3 linked regions of the Cricetulus griseus genome follow. The protein of the gene in region 3 binds, or shares a complex with, the protein of the main gene of each other region. Links are inferred from orthologs where the notes say so. Each region holds a gene or a part of one and is shown on either strand. Other genes may lie near its edges.

The links.
Region 1: the proteins of Ptpn22 (region 3) and Pstpip1 are in contact, whole or in part, in a crystal structure (PDB 7AAM), measured with the Homo sapiens proteins. The link is inferred for Cricetulus griseus from reciprocal best matches to the Homo sapiens genes PTPN22 and PSTPIP1. Residues at the interface, in NP_057051.4 of Homo sapiens: Ser793, Lys794, Pro795, Gly797, Pro798, Arg799, Asn800, Pro801, Pro802, Trp805, Asn806; in NP_003969.2 of Homo sapiens: Thr225, Arg228, Asn229, Trp232, Asn236, Ser239, Met240, Cys242, Val243, Asp246.
Region 2: the proteins of Ptpn22 (region 3) and Csk are in contact, whole or in part, in an NMR structure (PDB 1JEG), measured with the Mus musculus proteins. The link is inferred for Cricetulus griseus from reciprocal best matches to the Homo sapiens genes PTPN22 and CSK. Residues at the interface, in NP_033005.1 of Mus musculus: Pro614, Pro615, Leu616, Pro617, Glu618, Arg619, Thr620, Glu622, Ser623, Phe624, Ile625, Val626, Val627; in NP_001291690.1 of Mus musculus: Phe20, Thr23, Gln26, Ala40, Val41, Thr42, Lys43, Asp44, Asn46, Trp47, Ile59, Pro61, Asn63, Tyr64.

Annotation. Positions count from the first base shown.
Region 1 is NC_048597.1:167,620,744-167,624,749, reverse strand, and holds the start of Pstpip1 (proline-serine-threonine phosphatase-interacting protein 1), read right to left. Parts: upstream 2,806-4,006; 5' UTR 2,678-2,805; coding exon 2,579-2,677; coding exon of another isoform or gene 2,577-2,578; intron 1,048-2,576; coding exon 947-1,047; intron 297-946; coding exon 222-296; intron 1-221. UniProt on the Homo sapiens protein: Involved in regulation of the actin cytoskeleton. May regulate WAS actin-bundling activity. Bridges the interaction between ABL1 and PTPN18 leading to ABL1 dephosphorylation.
Region 2 is NC_048597.1:169,257,796-169,261,896, forward strand, and holds the start of Csk (tyrosine-protein kinase CSK), read right to left. Parts: upstream 2,806-4,101; 5' UTR 2,744-2,805; coding exon 2,729-2,743; intron 2,414-2,728; coding exon 2,300-2,413; intron 2,184-2,299; coding exon 2,071-2,183; intron 1,818-2,070; coding exon 1,598-1,817; intron 823-1,597; coding exon 729-822; intron 571-728; coding exon 505-570; intron 428-504; coding exon 328-427; intron 218-327; coding exon 127-217; intron 1-126. UniProt on the Homo sapiens protein: Non-receptor tyrosine-protein kinase that plays an important role in the regulation of cell growth, differentiation, migration and immune response.
Region 3 is NW_023276806.1:53,075,476-53,079,438, forward strand, and holds the start of Ptpn22 (tyrosine-protein phosphatase non-receptor type 22), read right to left. Parts: upstream 2,802-3,963; 5' UTR 2,690-2,801; coding exon 2,603-2,689; intron 1-2,602. UniProt on the Homo sapiens protein: Acts as a negative regulator of T-cell receptor (TCR) signaling by direct dephosphorylation of the Src family kinases LCK and FYN, ITAMs of the TCRz/CD3 complex, as well as ZAP70, VAV, VCP and other key signaling molecules.

The DNA.
Region 1 (4,006 bases), on a different chromosome or scaffold from region 3:
CTGCCCTCCTGACTTGGTGATGGTGAGGCTGGTGGTGCCATGAACCCTGGTCTTCCCAGAGCACAAACTCATACAAGATGATGGCCTCAGGATGCCTGGTAACAGGCACCACATGGGGTCCAGATGCTGCTGTCCAGTTTACCCCAATCAGAAAGCCCCAAGCCCCGAGTAAAGTCCAGAAGATTCCTCAGAGAAGCAGGGGGAGCCACCAGCACTCTTACTTGATCTCTGTCTGGCCACCAGCCTTGCGCGCAATCTGCACCAGCTCCTTCCCGTACCTCTCTTCCGCCTGGGCCCTGCAAGGACAGAGCAAGCACTGTGTCCCTTCCACCACTATTGGCTGGCTATGGCCCCAAAATATGTACAGGACCCATATTCTCCCATCATATTTTGTTGGCAAAATGGCTACTGAAAAAGTTGAGCTGTTTCCTTCTGAGGATAAATGTTAGTTGAAAACAGGCCTGTCCAAAGGGCTGCTACATGGTATGCCCCTTGGAGGAGGCCCAGGCCCAGGAGCCGCAGGAGACAACAGAGAGCTCTGGCTCGTGTGTGAATGTATGAGTGTGTGTGTGTGTGTGTGTGTGTGTGTGTGTGTGTGTGTGTGTGAGTCCAGGTGTATAGGTACCACAACGTACCTGTGGAAGTCAAAGGACAACTTCCCCACCCTCTCCACCCCCTTTAAGATTTCATATGTTCGTATACTATATCCTGCAGAGATACCAAGGAGGCCTCTGGGGATCTTGTCACTGCATCCCCTCTTGTTTTGAAGGGGATTTGAACTCATGTCCCTATTCTTGTTTAGCAAGTGATCGACCCACTGAACCATCTGAGGAGTTTTAGCTCTTAGCTTTTGAAAGCAGACCCATACTGAGAGCAGCTGGGCTCTAGGGGGCGTAACCACTCCCTTCCCTGTCTGCTCTGACCACCCAAGCCCAGCCCTGCTTACCTCTGCCTGAGCAGCTCCTCCACATCTTTGCACATCTTCCTGCCATCCAGCAGCCGCTGTAGCAGTACCTCATATCCCGTGTGGGCCGTGAAGTCCCTGCACTGTAACATTGGACATTCATGAGGACCCCAGTAGGACAGCAAGGACCTTGCTGACAACCTCTGGAGAACAGCCTCTTTCTGGCCTCCATGTCCCTGGTCAAGCACCTACAGGTTAGGGCCAGCCTCATGCTGGTACACAGTACCACCCCATACATGGAGGTTCCAGGACCACAGCTGTCAGGCCTCAAGAGTCTGATACAGCAGCTTTAACACAAGACAGTGGGTAGATGAGAATGGCCCTACTGAGGCTCCGTGATGACAGCCAGGCCCCAGATTCTTTCTAATTAAATGCCTGGTGTGGCTTGTGCCCTATGACCTCATGACTTGAGCTAAGTAAGGAAGCATGTTCAGGAGGTAAAAGTGGTGACTGGTCATAGAACACCTGGCCTGGCTCAAGTTCTGTTGCATCCCCTGCTGGAGTCATCTCTTAACTAGGGGATTCTGGGAAGCAGCTGACCTTGTGCGTAAGCCTTGTGGAGCCAGCTAAGGCCTAGATCCACAGCTTAGTGGCCAATGGACAGCTGACCCTAGGCTCAGCACTGCTCAGAAAAGGGGATATGAGCTTACAGGCTGAAATTCTACAGAGAGATGCAACACTTCAAGTTGGCTGAATGTAGACAGGGGTGGGGGGCACTTATGCCCCCTGTACTCTTCCCAATATCTGATTCTCTGTAGATCTTGAGGTCCACCAAATCCCCCTGTAAGAAACTTACTGGAGGTATAACCCAGGTCTTCTAGGCAATTGCCCTAACCCTAAGCCATACCCTCAGTCCTTTTCTTGATTTTTAATAATAGCCTTAGCTGGCTATGTGATACCCCAACCTGAGACAGTTGCCCCTGCAACTTGCTGCAGGCCCATTAGGGGCAGGCATCTCCCTTCCAAGTCTAGGCTGTACCATCCGGAGCCAGGCTCTCATTTTTTATGTCTTTAAAGGTCAGCTTTCTTTCCTTCCTCCCTTCCTTCCTTCCTCCCTTCCTTCCTTCTTCCCTTCCTTCCTTCTTCCCTTCCTTCCTTCCTCCTTCCTTCCTTCCTTCCTTTCTTTCTTTCTTTCTTTCTTTCTTTCTTTCTCTTTCTCTCCCTCCCTCCCTCCCCTCCCCCCCCTTTCTTTCCGAGTTTAGAGCACAGCTTCCCACTCTTGACCTCTGCCCTCCCTGGGGACTCCCAGGTCAAAGTCTGTAGCAGCATGAGGAAAAAGTGAGTCAGAAGCTACAGATACCCCCCTTCCCTGTGGGGGTCACTGAGCTTGTGTTAACATTCAGGGCACAAAACCACAGACCCCAGAACTGTGAAGAATCTGTCCAGTGCCCCTCAGCCCTTAAGAAACTGAGCCCCAGAGAAGGGAAGGGCCTGCCTGGAGCTTTATTACAAACTAGAACCTAGCCCCTCAGGAGACTTTCTCCTCTGAGGAATTTTTGCAGGGAGGGCTAACGGTCTATGCTTCCTCCCCCATGCCCAGTCCTGAATCTCCAAGGGGCTCTTTCTGTCCTCTGAGTCCCAGGGTAGAAAAAGGAAAGCCAACCAGACTCACACCGGCCATACTGGAGGACATGAAAGGCAGCAAGGGGCCCTGCAGCCCAGGTCTTCAGGAGCTAGTGTCCTCGGCACCTGCAGCAGGCTAGAGACTCCCATCCAGCCCTTGTGTGCTGCCGCTGTGGTGGCGTCAGGCACAATGAGCCACAGTCACAAGTGATCCAGCTGTTCTAAGGGAGTGTCTAGTCCCTCAGGGCTGCCTGCCTTGCTTCCATCCCTGCCCCCTCATTCTCCTCCTCCTTCACCCCCACACCACCACCTTCTCAGCAGACAGACTGATTCACTGCCAAGGGAAGAAGGAAGGGGATTGTGGGAAAGAACCTCCCAATCAGAAGTCCACCATCTATCCACGGCAGACTCCCCAGGGCTACCCCAGCTCGCTCTCTCTTCCCCCCCCTTTCTCACCTCTTCCTGTCCACCATTAGCCTGTCAATCAAATCCTGCCCATGATGTTACCCTAAAGCATGAAAATAGAGCCCTGCCTGGGCCTTGAGCGAAGGCTCAGAAGTTAGGAGCACTTACTACTCTTGCAGAGGTCCCGTGGCTCACAGCCTCCTGCAACTTCAGCTCCAGGGGATCTAACTCCCTCTTTGGGCCTCTGCAGGCACCCACATGTACATGCACACATACACATAAATAACAAGACAAATCTTTTAAGACAACGAAGCCCTTACTGGATCCACTACAACCTGCTAGGCATTTGCCCTGAGAAGGGCTTTGCAGCAGTGAATGGGGATCTTCTGCAGCCTAGGCAGCACTCCAGGAGCTGAGCCATTCCCAGGACACAGCCACCCAGGGACACCATGGAGGACAGCCAGGCTTTGGTTGCCAGCAGCCAGCCAACACTGAGGCCTAGCCTCATTACCCTCACCAGCCCTTTGTACCATTCCCTGCTCTGGCTGAGCCCCCATGCTCTCCCTAGTCACTTACTTTTAGTTTTCTTTAGAAGTCACTGATTCTGGAGGCTACATAACTGTGTATTATCAGTTCCCTGCTAGCTTGGCTATGCTGAAACCACTGATTTGGGGGAGGGGCATGAAAACTATGTTTGTCTAGGCCATTCATTATTCATAAACCTGAAGGCCTTTACTGCAAAACACCACTGTTTTCACCCTAGTCTTCATAGATATTATTTGGATGACTTTTTACCTGAAGAAGCAAAAATTCTCCTCAGATAAGCTATTACCCCCACTTCCTAACCAAGAAGAGTTGTAAAGTTTGCACACATGCAGGCCACAGATTGCTTTGCTTCCAGTCTTGCTCTCTATACATTGGACCGTCCTGCTTCCTGGCCCTATAAATAGCCCCCAGTCCTATTCTTTGGGCAAGTGGATCTTAGACTTGGAGCTCTGTCTCCCTGTGGATTTACTCTTACGAAGGTTTCAGTGGCTGGGATACTGGACAGGGGGGGAAACAGCCTGGCAGTAG
Region 2 (4,101 bases), on a different chromosome or scaffold from region 3:
GCTTGGAGAGGGCACGACTTGTCCCTCAGTAAGTAAGTGACTGGCCAGGATTGGCAACTTCAAAGCTCAGTGGGGACAAAGTGGAGGGGCTGGGAGGAGGGAGAGGTGAGGCTGAGGAGAACCCACCTTGGCCATGTACTCTGTGACAATGTAGAGCCCACCCTTCTCCTCCACAATCACACCCAGTAGCTGGACCAGGTTGCTGTGCCGAAGTTGCCTGGACAAGGCGGGACAGAGTAGTCAGCCAGAGTTCAGAGTTCAGTCAGCCAGCCTCCCCCGTTCCACCCAGGCCCCAGGCAACCTGCCCTTATGCTTGTCTCAACTTACGTCATGACAGAGGCTTCAGCCAGGAAGGCCTGGGCAGTGGCATCATTCTTAATGCATTTAACTGCAACTTTGTTGCCCCGATAATCACCCAGCATCACGTCTGGAGGAAGAAGGGAGGGATGCGGTTTCCTGGACACCCGAAGCTTCTCAGACCCTCCCGGGGCTCCCTCAACTTACCTCCAAACTCCCCCTTCCCAATCGTCTGTAGCAGCTTCAGTTCCTTCATGTTCAGGGCCCAGCCACCTGTGGGGTGGGGGCAGAAAAGCAGTGTGTCAGTGAGGTGAACAGAGAGTTGAGGCCGTTTGAGATGGCAGGCACAGGCCAAACTGCTTTAGATGTGGGATGTCTGATGTCTCCAAACCACCAGGGTAGGCCAGTGGAAATGTAGTTAGTGTACTTACTGCGGTAGAATTCATCTTGGGCGGCCACTGTGCCCTCCATGACCTTTGGTTTGATGAGGCGAGTGCAGAGTCCATCGGCATCTGTGGTGTAGTGCTGCAGAGAGAGGGGGAGGGCAGGCCCTCAGAACCAGACCCGCTGGCCCCATTTTTCATAGACTCACGGGCTGCTCAGGTCTGACCACCAGGGGGCAGCAGAGGCCAGTTCACGAAGCCTCCAGCTGCTTTGTGTGAAAGGTTCCTCATTTCAAAAGGGTGGGAATGCCTGTCCATTTCCTGTGTCACCCCACCCACATCAGCTACTGGACTCCCAATTGTCACTACTGCTGTGGGCCTGACCAGCATCTTAAGGTAAACAGCAAAGCCTGGCCTGCTCCCTGCACCAGCCTCCAGCCAGGTGTCCTCGGCCAATGTAAACCAGAGACAGGATGAGAGTGAGCTTGGAGGGAACCTACAGTTTTCTGTTGCCAAGTATGGCCTGGTCAGAGCTGACAGAGCTGGTGTCGGAAGCTGCAAGGACCTGTGGGTGTGCAAAGGCCTGAAGGACCCTGGTGGCCAGGGCACACACACGAGGAGGTTCGAGTGGAAGAGGAATTGAGTTCTGGATCAGATAGCCTCAAAGTCTAGTGGCACCTCCAACGTACAGAGAGAGGAGAGACTTTCACTGATCAGAACTTTGTGTCCTTATCTATAAAACGGGCCCTTGTTGGGGTACTATGGGCCCTGGCACATAGCAGGTGCTCCACTGGGGTGTGCTGTCAACGTGTCCAGGTTACTCTGCCAGGTGACTTGGTGCTGGGTTTGTGTGAAATGTCCTCAGGTGGACTCAGGTGTGTCTGAGTGTGGGCAGAAGGGGGAGCACCCCTACTCACCTCCACCAGCTGCATGAGGTTCTCGAAGTACACCTCCTCATCGATGCTCAACTTGCTCGCATGGTACATGATGCGGTAGTGTTCCACCTTGCCTTCACAGCTCACACACAGTGTGTAGTCCCCAGGGTAGTTGGTGCTTTCCCTCACCAGGAACAGGCCCGTCTCTGGTGGGTAGAGAAGCCGCTCGGCCTGCTCCCGTGTGATTTTGCCATGGAACCAGCTAGGGGGTGGCAAGGCTGGGGGTCACAATGGCACTGACCCCAGTGCCTCCTGCCAGCCCCCCACATGCGCTTTCCCACTGCTTCCAATCAGCCAGGGCACCATCTTCTCCCTGTCCCCTTTTCTTCTGCTGGGTGCCTATTCCCTCTGTTAGGTGCAACCTCTTGTTCCATTCCTACAACGCCTCTTACTCAGGGTTGTTTTCCTCTCTTCTCCCCAAACCAGGAGACTCCAGCCCTCCTCCTGGTACTCACGGCATAAGGCTGAGTTTGGTGCCTGCCTTCACACCCTCACGCTTCTGGACATAGTTGGCTGGGATGATGCCCTCACGGCCCACTTTGTTTTTGGCTTTGTACCAGTTTGGGTCCTGGAGAGAGGGCAACCAGACACACTCTCAGGTCTACCTCCCTCTGCTGGGGAGCCAAACCCAGAGGGAATCCCTGGAGGTGAAAGAATGGGATAGGCATCTAAGGTCCACAGTACCTTAGTGACCGCCACAATGGTGAGCACGTCTCCTTTGCAGAAGGGCAGGTCTTGCTCAGCAGTGCCATGGAAGTTGTACTTGGCAATACATTCTGTACCGGATGGCCAGGCGGCCTACAAGGTAAGGGACAGGTATGGGGGTGCTGCCTGGGGCCCTTCTCTACCCCTCTGCCCGAATGCCCTTGAGACCAAAGCATCTTAGCTGATATCCATGAGTTTGGGGTAAGAGAATGCCCAGTCCCTTCCAGCTCAAATTGCTCTGCAGCCCAGTCTGGGGCCCTGTGCCCAATAGAGCACACTGGAATTACCGTTGCTTCAAAGTCTTGACTAGCATGGAGGGTTGGGAATGGGGAATAGGCTGGTCTAAGCACCCACTCTTTTTCCAGATGTGGGATTGCCTCATCTGTCCCCACCACAACCCCATGGTACCTGTATTGCCGACATCTTCTTAGATCTGGCGTCCCCGTGCTACAGGAAGGCCAATCCGTTACTTGGTACCATTAGAGCTGTGGGAGAGGAGACAAGCTGAGGAAGGCTGAGAAGAGACGACCCCACCCTCTGTGGGTGATCATCAGTTCCTTCAAGGCAGTACAAGCCACAGTGCCAAAGCTTCTGAGAGTTGGTACATGGATCCAGGGCTGCCCCCCCCCCCCAATAGGGTTTCTCTGAATTGTTTTGGAGTCTGTCCTGGAACTTGCTCTGTAGACCAGGATGGCCTCAAACTCACAGAGATCCGCCTGCCCCTGCCTCCCGAGTGCAGTGATTAAAGGCATGCACCACCAACGCCCGGCTCCAGGGCTGTTCTATCTAGCCTTGGGTAGAAGCACACAGACTCAAGAGTCCCAGGGAGGCCTTGAGGATTGTCAGGGAAAGGGAGTCTAGGGAAACTCTGAAACCAGGCAGGTGATGAGTGGTCCAGGAAAGTCACTTGTTAGACAAGGTCACAGGCTTGTCCCAGAGACTGTATAGACAAATATCTGTGCTTATTTCTTGGCACACACCCAAAAGAAAGTAGCCCATGTCCTCCAGGAGAGGGGTAGGTGCTCTCTCATGGTGTGCTCTGTAGTAAATCTCAGACCAAGAGCTAACTGCCCAGGTACTGAAAATGAAGTGGATAAAATAGGGAGAAGTCACAAGATGGAATTCCATACAGCGGTGGCATGGCCCATGTCAGCCACCTATCAGCCTTGGATTCTCACCAAGGAGCTAGGCACAGAGAAGCACAAGCTTTGTGATTCTCTTTGTATCAAGTTTAAAACTGGATCAAACCAATCCAGGCTTGTCAGGATGAATCTCTGCAGAGGAAAGAACTGGACAGGGTGTGAGGGGGCTTCAAGGTGTCAGCTATGGGGGCTGTCTGAGCCCCCTTGCAAGAGAGGGTTTGCTCCAGAGAAACTTGCTGGGTGTAGCCTGAGAGCTGGTGCTCTTCTGGATTTATGTGCACTTTTGTAAATGGAATTCCTCAGAACACTCCCCCAGAGCAGCAAGCATGTCTTCACACACACACACACACACACACACATATATGTCACCAACACATTCAGTCCAAATACAGCCCCAGACCTCAGATAACCTCAGAAGGACTCAGGCAGAGTGGGGCTACTGTTCTCTTTCTGGTGAGGGAACAGCCAATGGCCTTTCTGTGGTCACAGGGCTAGATGACAGATGCACTTGGGATGGGAGAGGTGAGGTCTAGCCATTGCACTTATGGCGGCTATGTACACCACTGCTAGAAGAGGACTTTCAGTGTAGGTGCTGGTACATGTGTGTGCATGTGCATGCATACCTGCACGTACACATAT
Region 3 (3,963 bases):
CTTGTTTTTCCACTGGAGGACATGAGTCAGTGAACAGTGAGGTTCCACTTAATCACCACCCCAAAACAAGGTTCTTAAGAATCAGGAGTAAGAAGAACAAGGGAATGATTAATATAAAGCCAGGACAGTGATTTACTCTTGGGTGGGGTGGGGTGGGTGGAGAACCCTGCTGGGAAAGGGAGAGCTAGGGATCTTTTGGAGTTTGATGCTACTGTAGTTCTTCGTCTGAGTGGAGACTGCATTGGCAATGGTTCCTTTATCATTATATTCGCACGTTTTATGTAGTTTTCTAAATATGTATTATAGCTAAAAATTACAAGTAGCTAAAAAAAAACAAGCTGTAAAAAGTTCTTAAGCTGAGAAAAGTATAACCAGATTTATATCATTAAAAAATTACTTGGGCACTAAGCATGGTGGTGCACATCTTTAATCGCTGTGCTTGGACACAAAGGTAGGTGAATCTTTGAGTTTGATGCTAGTTTGGTCTATAGAATGTGTTCCAGGCCAGCTAGGGCTACTTTAGTGAGACCTTATCCAAGAAAATTAGCTGAAGGTGGGACAAGGCTAGAAGCAGAGAACATGGTCAGGAGGTGGCTACCACAATTTGGTGAGAGATTATAATGACCTCTACAAGGGTTAAAATATAGAGATACAGTCTTTTGTTTTGAAAAATACAATAAAAAAATAAGACAGAAGCTAACACTGCCACTCAGATCACTTTTTTCCCCTCTATATCTTCACAAATTGACTCAAGAACAACAGTCAAAATGCAACCACATATCTAAGCAGACATATGGAACTCTACCCTGTGGCAAACCTACTCTGAGGACTTGTGGCAGAAAGAATACATTTTTATGACATCATGACCATATGAAAGTTGAGTTGGCATAATACCTTAGCATCAAAGTTGAGCTGCTTATACACTAGCCTACGGTGATATCTAATCATGATACCCAGTCAGTGAAAACTTCATAGAGTGTTTTCTCATCTAATATCTGGTCCTAGAATGCTAGCTCTGGAAGGCAAAGACATTTTATTCACTACTATATCTTAGGGTGAAAAAACAAAGTTAGTATACAGTAAGTGCTCAATAAATATTAATGAATTATTTCTTTCTTTCTTTTTTTTTCTCAAGATATGGTCCCTCTAAGCTGGATGGGCTAACCTTGAACTCACAGTCCAACTGACCTCAGCCTTAAGTAGCTAGCACTCTAGGCACCTCCATAGTACCTTGTATTTAATTATCATAATTATTTGTGTCTAATCAACACAATAATCCAATGAGAGTAGATAAGACATATATTATATATTATTATCCTCATTTTGTAAGTTAGAAAACAAAGATTTTATTCATTTTTTGCAATTAAAAGTTGAAGGGCTAAGACTCAATATTCTTATAATTCTAAAACACCAACTAGAAGCATTTCAAAGCATAACAGGCTGGAGTGGTGGCACACGCCTTTGATCCCAGAAACCAGGAGGCAGAGGCAGAAGGATCTCTGTGAGTTCAAGGCCAAGTCTGATCCACACAGCAAGTTCCAGGGCAGATAAGCTACACAGTGATACAAACAAAAACCAAGCAAAACAATAAAATCAAAACCATGACATGTCTGTCAGATCCCACACTCTCCAGTGTACCTGACATGGAGCCATATAGCCTGCCCAGCTTTTACTGCATTGACAACTACAGCTCCCCTACAAGGAGACCCATTGTCTTCTGGATAGTCAAGTCCACCTGCTCCCTGGCTACCTTGTTCCTGTGTCCCCTAGTTGTCTCTACTTCCCACTCTACCCAGTCCACTTCTTCTCCAAACAATAGAAGTTAAAGAAACCCAGTTAGGGCAAAAAAAAAAGGAAAATGCTGTTCTAAAAACTTGTCATTAGGCCGAGTGTTGGTGGCGCACGCCTTTAATCCCAGCACTCGGGAGGCAGAGGCAGGTGGATCTCTGTGAGTTCGAGGCCAGCCTGGTCTCCAGAGCAAGTGCCAGGATAGGCTCCAAAGCTACACAGAGAAACCCTGTCTCAAAAAACCAAAAAAAAAAAAAAAAAAAAAAAGAAAGAAAGAAAGAAAGAAAAGAAAAGAAAAGAAAAGAAAAAAGAAAAAAACTTGTCAATAGAAAAGGGAAAATAGAATAAAGTGGCAAATGACAGTTTTGGTGTAATTCAAAAGCCTGTCATCCAAATGATATCCTATAGGGAGTCTAAAAATTCAACACTACACGAGGAGTTCCTCTTAGTCTCTTTCTTTTTGGTATCAATTAAAATGAGTAATTTGAAGCTTAAAACACAACTCAAATGCTTTCTCCAGATGCTCAAAAGGTATTAATATTCATACATCTGTATATACCTTCATAGGACTGATAAACTCAAAAAAACCCACAAACACAACAATAAAACCAGCATACCTGAAAAAAATGCTGAATACACAGATACAACAAAACTCACAGAAGTTATGTTTTTAGGTTGTCTCCCCACGCAACCCCTTGTAGTCCAAGCTCTGATGTTCAATTTGTCCCTACAGCAATTCAGTCTAGGCAGGTTAGACCACAGCAGACCGTTAAACAGTGCATCTAACTCCTCTTTCAAACATCCCAGAACTCACCAGAAATTCATTGGCAAACTCCTCATTATTAATTTTCTTTTTCTGGGCCTCATTCAGTAACCGCTGCAAAATTTCTCTTTGGTCCATGCCGCAGAGCAAAAGTCTGTGAGTGAATTAAGTGAGGGCATGTCAAATGTGTGTCATGGCCAAGACACCACCAAGAAGCCACTGCTGCTGCCTGAGCACAGCACGCTGGAGGCTGTGGTTTACTGACTGCATCACAAGCCCTAGAGGAAATTAGTACGAAACCAACTTCTGTGGTCACACAACAAAGCCATCATCTCCCTCCAGGGCCCTAGCGCCTTCCTTTCTCAACAAAGAAACCTGGCTACAGTTCAAATGTAGCGAACAAGAGGCTAACCAGAACATTAAACTGTGGTCTGCTTAGCTGGGGGACTCTGCCAGCTTTCCACAGTACTCACCTCACCTCTCTTGATGCTTCCCAGACAACAGACAGAAGTACAGCTCTAACATAAGGTGTGTTCAGCCTTTCCACATTCCCCAGGAGAGCAAAGGCCTGGGTGATGAGCACCTGCCGTCCCTCTACAGGGAAGGAGACAGACACTGGAGTTATCTATCTTCTACCTGGACTATTGTCGCCAAAGTCAGAGCAGGCATTTTACTTCAGAACTTGTCAACTGCTTCTGACAGGCAGGCAGTCTCTCTCACGGCTGGGGAAGTACTGGCCCCCCATAGAGGGAAGTGTTGATCTCTGTACCTCTTCAAACCTGCAGTAGCTTTGATCCTTATTTGGGTTCTGAATACAAACATGGAGAGCACTGTTCTATGGAGGAGAAGCACCTGGTAGACAGCACACTATCCTCAGAACGCACTGCTAGTAGACAGTGAAGGAATGAAAACTAAAATTTAATTTGTCGAGTGTAATACAGATTCTAGGTCAGAAAGTCTTGGGAGAAGTGAGTATAGCAGTGCAATCTGGGGTCCTCGCTACTCAGGAGTGTCACCCAACTGGAGGATCACTTGAGTCTGGGAGTTTGAGACACCTGGGCAACAAAATGAGACCTCTCCCTCAAAAACTGAAAGAGAGAGAGAGACACAGAGACAGAGAAAGAGAGAGACAGAGAAGAAAGGAAGAATGAAAGAGAGAGGGAGAGAGAAAGCCTAAAGAAGTGATTCTCATGAAGACATTTTGACATTTTTTGCCCTACAGCCACAGTCTTAGAAAACATCCCATTTCAGGAAGCCATCCCCTACTCATGGCATTTGTGCCTTGATAGGCAGGCTGCTCTAGAGAAAGCTTCCATGCCTCCGTTTGCATAAATTCTCTCTTCAATGGGTACAAATCCACCCAAGATCTAATTCACCCCAAGTGAATATATTATCTTTAAAGGAGGAAGTTC